2 linked regions of the Macaca mulatta genome follow. The protein of the gene in region 2 interacts with the protein of the main gene of each other region in a biochemical or structural test. Links are inferred from orthologs where the notes say so. Each region holds a gene or a part of one and is shown on either strand. Other genes may lie near its edges.

What was found.
Region 1: of the proteins of TRIM28 (region 2) and SIRT1, one has a biochemical effect on the other in vitro, tested with the Homo sapiens proteins (2 studies listed by BioGRID). The link is inferred for Macaca mulatta from reciprocal best matches to the Homo sapiens genes TRIM28 and SIRT1.

Annotation. Positions count from the first base shown.
Region 1 is NC_133414.1:81,856,957-81,860,769, forward strand, and holds part of SIRT1 (NAD-dependent protein deacetylase sirtuin-1), read right to left. Parts: intron 3,508-3,813; exon of another isoform or gene 3,416-3,507; coding exon of another isoform or gene 3,383-3,415; intron 2,891-3,382; coding exon 2,743-2,890; intron 1,659-2,742; coding exon 1,579-1,658; intron 428-1,578; coding exon 241-427; intron 1-240. UniProt on the Homo sapiens protein: NAD-dependent protein deacetylase that links transcriptional regulation directly to intracellular energetics and participates in the coordination of several separated cellular functions such as cell cycle, response to DNA damage, metabolism, apoptosis and autophagy.
Region 2 is NC_133424.1:70,686,063-70,690,046, reverse strand, and holds the end of TRIM28 (transcription intermediary factor 1-beta), read right to left. Parts: intron 3,801-3,984; coding exon 3,665-3,800; intron 3,584-3,664; coding exon 3,467-3,583; intron 3,390-3,466; coding exon 3,275-3,389; intron 3,150-3,274; coding exon 3,003-3,149; intron 2,890-3,002; coding exon 2,775-2,889; intron 2,694-2,774; coding exon 2,587-2,693; coding exon of another isoform or gene 2,559-2,586; intron 2,491-2,558; coding exon 2,454-2,490; intron 2,369-2,453; coding exon 2,320-2,368; intron 2,242-2,319; coding exon 1,989-2,241; intron 1,899-1,988; coding exon 1,579-1,898; intron 1,493-1,578; coding exon 1,369-1,492; intron 1,281-1,368; coding exon 1,194-1,280; intron 1,076-1,193; coding exon 938-1,075; intron 846-937; coding exon 669-845; 3' UTR 507-668; downstream 1-506. UniProt on the Homo sapiens protein: Nuclear corepressor for KRAB domain-containing zinc finger proteins (KRAB-ZFPs).

The sequences.
Region 1 (3,813 bases), on a different chromosome or scaffold from region 2:
ATCGCTTGAACCCAGGAGGCGGAGGTTGCAGTGAGCTGAGATCACGCCACCGCACGCCAGCCTGGGCAATAAGAGGGAAACTCCATCTCAATAAATAAACAAACAATTTCGAAAATTAGCTCTTCACCACTCTTTCAAACAGAAGCAGAGTAAGATTACTAGAGTTAGGGTCTATTATACAGATCCACAACCCATGACATTATATATAGAAATGATCTCCAAAAGCCATCACCAACTTACTTGGAATTAGTGCTACCGGTCTTACTTTGAGGGAAGACCCAATAACAATGAGGAGGTCAACTTCATCTTTGTCATACTTCATGGCTCTATGAAACTGTTCTGGTAAATTTTCACCAAAAAACACAATCTCTGGTTTCATGATAGCAAGCGGTTCATCAGCTGGGCACCTAGGACATCGAGGAACTACCTACGAATTTTCAGATTTTGGTTGAGACAGAGAAGCAAACAGTAAGCTCAAGTTAGAAATAGTCAACATTTCCATACCTCTAAGAATACATTTCAGAATTATTTAAAAAAAAAAAAAAAAAAAAAAAAACAGAAAAGCTATAGATAAACAGCAACTGGGTAACAATCTAAACGTCAATGATGGGTAGTTTATTAACATACTATGAAACAGTGAAATACTATGCTCTTGTTATAATATCTATATAGAAAAACACTTGACATTGAAGAGTCCATCATATAAGAGGAAAAACACAATGTGTGTATATACACAAAATGGGAATTGATCCTTTAAAAGAAAAATACACATTTGTAAAACAAAATGACTCCATTGTATTTATTTGAGATGGAGTCTCATTCTGTTGCCCAGGCTGGAGTGCAGTGGCATGATCTCAACTCACTACAACCTCCACCTCCTGAGTTCAAATGATTCTCCTGCCTCAGCCTCCCAAGTAGCTGAGATTAAAGGCATATGCCACCATGCCAGGCTAATTTTCGTATTTTTAGGAGAGACGGGGTTTTGCCATGTTGGCCAGGCTGGTCTTGAACTTCTGACCTCAAATGATCCACCCACCTCAGCCTCCCAAAGTGCTGGGATTACAAGCATGAGCCACTGCACCCGAACAATGATTCCATTTTAATATACTATTCTTCCTCTTTCATAATAATATAATTAACTCTATATATTGCTAAGCACACAGGACATATTTCTGGATAATTTTTATTTTCTGCTACATTTTCCTATATTTTTTGGCAATGAACATGTATGAAATAATTTTAAAAGATTACCACAACTAATTTAAGGTTCAAATCTGACAGGCACAAAAAGAGGAAGGAGAAAAACTACAACAACAACAACTTGCTTATGATCTGATGTTTTAGGTTCGGCTTAGATACTAAGAAGCCAATTTCATAATTTTAACAGACTTTATAGGGCTGTTTTCTATATAAGGTATTGAAAGGTTCTTGTATATTTTACCAAAATTCCCAATTACTATTTTCTTCCTGAATATTTCTGTATCACGTATACCTTTAAGGGTAAAAAAAGGATTTTGAGGCAAAAGAAGAAATACTTCAGAGACATGCACAATTCCTAAAATACGGGAAACAAATTACCTGATTAAAAATATCTCCTCGTACAGCTTCACAGTCAACTTTGTATTTACAAATCAGGCAAGATGCTGTTGCAAAGGAACCTAAAAACAACCAACATATATGTGCTTTATTAATGAAGTATTTCTGTTTCTTGAACACACCACGAATGTTATAAAGTTTGACATCAGAAATGTTAACAGGGTTTAAAGATTTTTAACTTTGATTTTAAACCTCAGAACACACTGCAGATTTTGTGATACACTACAGGAGAATCTAGGGGATGAATAATTTATATATTTATTTATACATAGAATGAACACAATTCTCAATCGCTGAGACAATAATGATGCCTTCTAAAGCTACTCTTTTGAACAAAACTGTAATAACTCGCTCCTGCAGAGCTAAAATCCTGCAGAGTTGAACAGTTCCAATTCTATTACCTTAGTTCAGCAGTTCTTAGAAACACTTTAGATACCTAATGGCGTGTTCATACTTGTTTTACATTAAACATTTCTGAATCTCTGAATTCTGTACATCTCAACTATCCAGTTCTTTTAGTTTCATAAACTAAAGATGTCACATTTCTTCATTAATAGCTAACATTACTCTTGTAATCAGTTTTTTTTTTTTTTTTTGGACAGAGTCTCACTCTCTGTCTCCCAGGCTGGAGCGCAATGGTGCAATCTTGGCTCACTGCAACCTCCAACTCCCAAGTTCAAGTGATTCTCATGCCTCAGCCTCCTAAGTGGCTGGGATAACAGGTACGCCACCATGCCCGGCTAATTTTTGTATTTTTAGTAGAGCCAGGGTTTCACCATGTTGGCCAGGCTGTTCTTCGAACTCCTGGCCTCATGTGATCCGCCCGCTTCAGCTTCCCAAAGTGCTAGGATTACAGGCGTGAGTCACCACACCCAGCCAGAAAAGATTATTTAAAATAACTGAATGCATGCAACTGCAGCATCTTTTGAAATCAAAAGCAAATTAATATTTGAGGTTTTATGTAATTAACTGTTTTTATTATTTTTGTTTTCTACTTTTCTACTTTTCGGAGGTTATCTATAATTAACGAGATAACATGATTAAATAATGCTTTATCTCCACTTCTCAATGGCAGTCTGCTTTAGAGGAAAAATCCTCCTATAAAACTAAAATAAATTACAGAAAACCATTCTGAAGTTTACTAACCATGACACTGAATTATCCTCTGGATTCCCGCAACCTGTTCCAGCGTGTCTATGTTCTGGGTATAGTTGCGAAGTAGTTTTCCTTCCTTATCTGACAAGGCTATGAATTTGTGACAGAGAGATGGTTGGAATTGTCCAGGATATATTTCCTATATCAAGTAAAAGGTAGAAAAAATTTACATTAGTGAAATAAACTACAGATGTCATATGTTTAACAAAAAACTACCGATAATCCCCCACATATAATTTTAAAAATGAAATAGATGAGCATTTTAAAGTATCTAGATGGATGCAACACACACCTACAAAAGGACTGTTGCTGTCATGTATAAAACTCAGCAATTAGTGAACTTGGCCCCTTGAAGAAAAAGACAAAGTCAGCCCATAAACATCTCTAATAAATGTTGATATTTTAATAAAAGTCAGAAGTAACACAACCTTAGGATATCTAATTTTTGTTGGCTGCAAATTCAGATTTTTTTCTTTAAAGAAAAATGGGAAACTTTAAAATTACAGGTATCAAGGTAGGGTGATTTTTAAAAAAGCACTGTCAATACAAGAATATTTTAAAATTTTTTTGATTTATCATTCATTAGAATATCAACCTGTTGGAAGTTTAAAGCTAAAGTTTTAATCCTTACCAAAATTGTTTTCCTTCCACTGCACAGGCACATACTGGTATAGTATAGAGTTGCTCATGAATGCTGAGTTGCTGGATTTTGTGTGTGTGTTTTTCCCCCCAAATAATGCTTCAATGCTGTTTCTTCTTTAAAAACAAAGAATTCAGATATACACATGGCAAAAAGATCAGAGAAAAAGTATCAATTTTGGTCCTCCCAACTTTTGACAGTGTTTTTATTAAATTTCATTTAGTAAGTGACTATGGCAAAGGAAGTTTCTTCTCTACTTTTTCCTTTAAAGTAGTAGTGCTATCATCTACTTACTTCCTTACCATTCATTACAGGCTCTAATCTATCATAATGCTAGCAAAAAACTAGACACAACCGTATGCCCATCAGTAGGGAACCGGTTGTATAAATATGGTACGTCCATAATAGTGGAATATGTAGCC
Region 2 (3,984 bases):
TGTAGAGTAACTAAATCATAACACAGGGATGAAGGATAATATTAAGTGGACTCAGCAAAGGGAGACGGAAAAAACCATATTTGGAAGGTCTCAGTTCACTGTGGTACCATCTGAAGATGAGAAACAGCTACGGCACCAAAGTTTACGAAGTATTCAGTAGAGTGGGGCTAACCCTGCCTACACAGGGCTGCAGGTCACACCCACCCAGTATCGCAAAGGGTACCAAACAAGCCTGTAGCGTGTACATCCTTTGCCCTGGGTGCCCTCCCCATATCCAGAAAGGGCAAGGAGGCAGTCTTCCCCACTCCCTAGGCATCCATACACATGGGCTTGGGTAGGCTGCAGTCTCCCCCACTCCCTAGGCATCCATACACATGGGCTTGGGTAGGCTGGAGACAAGACCCCCCTCCCTTATCAACCACCAGTGCTTGATAAGGCTGAATAGCAGATACAGTCAATAAACCAGGCCCTAGGACCACAGCCCCCCAACCAGCCAAGGCCTGAGGAACTGGTGAAGTTTTTATTAAATCCACAGAAGTAAAAACCATATCGTGAGGAACTGGGGGATGGGGCCACCAGGGAGTGGGAGTCAGGCCACCAGGGGAGTGGGGATGGGGTGACAAGACAGAGAACAGAGCCAGGCTGGGCTGGCCATGGGGGCTCCAGCCTCAGGGGCCATCACCAGGGCCACCAGACAGCTCCTGGGAACTCAGGCCAGCACCAGGCAGGCTCATCGGCGGGGGCTCCACCAGCACAGCAGAGAACTTGGTGTCACCGAAGGCCTCGTTCATGCGCGTCTCGAAGAAGCGCTGCAGGCCGATGATGGACTGCACGTCTGCCTTGTCCTGGACCAAGCAGGAATGCAGTGGATGAATGGGTCCTAGCTCTTTCCTTCACATCTCTCCCTGCCCACAGCCCCTCCATTCCACTGGCTCACCTCAGTTAACTTGTTGAATTGCTTGAACATGCGGCCCACATCCTGGGCAAACTCCTGTGGGGAGCTGTAGGGAGGTGACAACTTCTCCTGCAGGCGGGCGCGGATCAGGGTCAGATCCAGGGTGCCACCGGGCTGGTCCTACAGGCAGAGATCACACATACACACACAAAGACACACATATACATACATAGGTTGAGGGTGAGACCCGGCAGCCACCACCGCCCACCCCCCCCGACTTTCCCGTCCTAGGACTCACCAGGGAGAAGGTGGAGTCGGTAGCCAATTGATGCAGGGGGCGGCAGGGTTCATGACAGAAGAGAGCCAGCAGAACACGCTCACATTTCTACAAACAGTGTACTGGATGTCACAGCTCTGGGTAGCACCTATAAAGCCTCTCTGGGCAACCCCACCTAAGTAACCCCAGCCCTCACCCGCTGGTTGGCTGGCGAGAGCTTGGCCACCACGCCAGTGCTGTCTGCACCATCCAGGCTAAGGCTGCCATCCTCCTCCTTCAGGTCAGGGAGCACATGGCAGAGTGAGCAGCTCCACTCCTCCCTAGGGTGAAGAGAATAAGGGTCTGCACATGATCCTGTCCAGACAGCCCAACACCCAGACTAGACCCACACCAGCCTCACACTCACCCTGGTACATCCTGCAGGGCCGGCAGGTGACAGTCCAGGTGGAAACAAAACTCACACTGGTTGCACATGACCAGATCACCTGGCTTCTGGCAGACACGGCAAATGGTGGCACTGTCATCCAGGGTTCCCGGGCCACCACCTGGGGCTGAGGTACCCTCAGGAGCCACCACCTCCAGCCCTGAGCTGGTGCTGCCACTAGGTGAGGCCAGGCGGGGACCCTCAGCACCAGGACCCTCCGCAAGAGCCATAAGCACAGGTTTGGTTTCAGGGCCCTCAGTGGCAGTAGGAGGGGCTCCAATGGCAGCCTCCGTCTCCTCCTCCTGCAAGGTGGTGATGAGGGGTGTTCAACAGGGTCCAGACCTGGACTACAGGCTTCATCCTACAGCTATAGTTCCTTGGGACAGACTTACCTTGACAATGGCCATACCAGCCAGGGGTGGCGCACCAGGGGTTCCTGCAGGTGCAGTCCCTGGCTGGCCAGTAGCTGCAGCAGCGGCGCCACGTTCAATAACAATAAGGTTGTAGTCCTCAGTGGTACTGCCTGGGAAGACCTTGAAGACGGGTGGCTGGCTGTCAGCTGTGAGGTCCAGGTCCAGGCGTTCCAGGCTCACTCGTGGCACCTTGCGCATAAGGCCGCTCACCTCGCCCTCACCTGAGCGGGACCTGTAGATGCAGCAACCTGGCATGAGCACACCCCTACCCTCCATCCACCTCCACCCCCAGGGGAGGTGCCACACTTACCGTTTCACACCTGACACGTGAGGCTCTGCACTTGAGTAGGGATCATCTACTTAGAAAATGGAGAAAGAAGACTGGCAGGTCGGGGTAGAAACAGCACTGGGGCCCTTCCCCACCCACTAGGCAGACCCACTCACCTGACCCGAAGCCATAGCCTTCCTGAACCTCCATGGGCTGTGAACAAAGCAGAGCCCTCTGCCTCAGTGGGACAGGAACCCTGTTGGACCCCATTCCCTGCCCACCCCTTTCTGGGTCCTCTCTCCTGCTCACCTGGCTGCTGCCAGAGCCCTGCTTGCTCAGGGGCCCTGGGGCTCTTGGAGGAGCCATGGGTGCAGGGCCTGTTGAGTTAGTGCCAGGACGCTCTGCCACAATCTTGCCTGCACAAAAAAAAGAGAAACATAAGCAGGTACAGCACATGGGGTAATAACAAAGCAGAGCAAGGTAGAGCTGGGACCCACCGAAGGCCTCGGCACTCTTGGTCCAGGCATTGAGGTCCCACTGAAACTTCATCTCGCCATGTGGCTCCACGGGATCCACAATCATCTTGAGGGCCCGGTGCAGCTGGAAGTAGATCTGGTTGGGAGTGAAAGGGAAGAAAGAATGAGCACACCAACAACAAATAGGGATTTGAGGTACTGGGAGCCACCTGCCTGGAACCCACCAGCTGGAAGCCCACCAGTACACACCAACTTCTTAGAAAGCAGAAGGGCTGTGTTGTTGTCACTCTCCAGAGCCCAAGAGGCAAAGCGCAGAATGTGCTCCTGGTGCTTCTGGATCTTGGTCATGGTCCAGTGCTGCCGCTCCAGGCGCTCCTGCTGCCCCTCAGTAACCTTCTGCAAATGGAAGATGTATGGGGTAAGCAAAGAAGGCAGAGAACACTAGGATCACTCCTTACCCGGGAAAGCATTATCAATCAGCAGAGCGGGCTCAGGGACCCTCTCACTGGCACAAGGATTACCTGGGCATCGTTGACCAGCACACGGCCCCGCTTATTCAGTTCCTTCATGATCTGCAGGATGGCCATCTTGACATCCACTTGCACACGCTTCTGTACATCAGACACCTGGCGAATCCTAGGGGACACAGCAGGTCAGGCTAGGTAGGGTCTTGCTGCCCTGGGCCACTCCACAGCCCCAGAACCCACACTTACGAGCTGCGAACCTCCTTGGTGCTCTTCTGCAATGTGGCATGTTTGTCCCCAAGGCGCTTCACCAGTGAGGCCAGGAGCTTGCGCTGGTTCCTCACTGCATCCTCTAAGAACTGGTACCTGAGAGCAGACAAATGTGTTCCTGAGCACTAAACTAGGGAAGGGGTGGCACCCACCCAACCACTATGCCTTGGGACTCACTGGTGGTCCTTGTGGGCATTGAGCTGGCAGTCTCGGCAGGTGAGAGTATCACAGCTCTCACAAAACAGCACAAGGGGTTCATGCTTGTGTACGTTGCAATAGACGGTACGTTCACCATCCCGAGACTTGGCTGGCCCTGGGGAGTCGGAATCATAAGGCTGGACCTTGCCCTTCACCACCCCCAACTCAGGAAGCAGACTAAGTTGGGGCCTCATTTCCTGCCCATTCTGTGACACTGGGCCATTTATTGGGAAGATGTAGAGGGTGTGGCCAGCGAAGAACACAGGCCTGCAAGCCCAATTCCTTGCTCCCAGAAACCT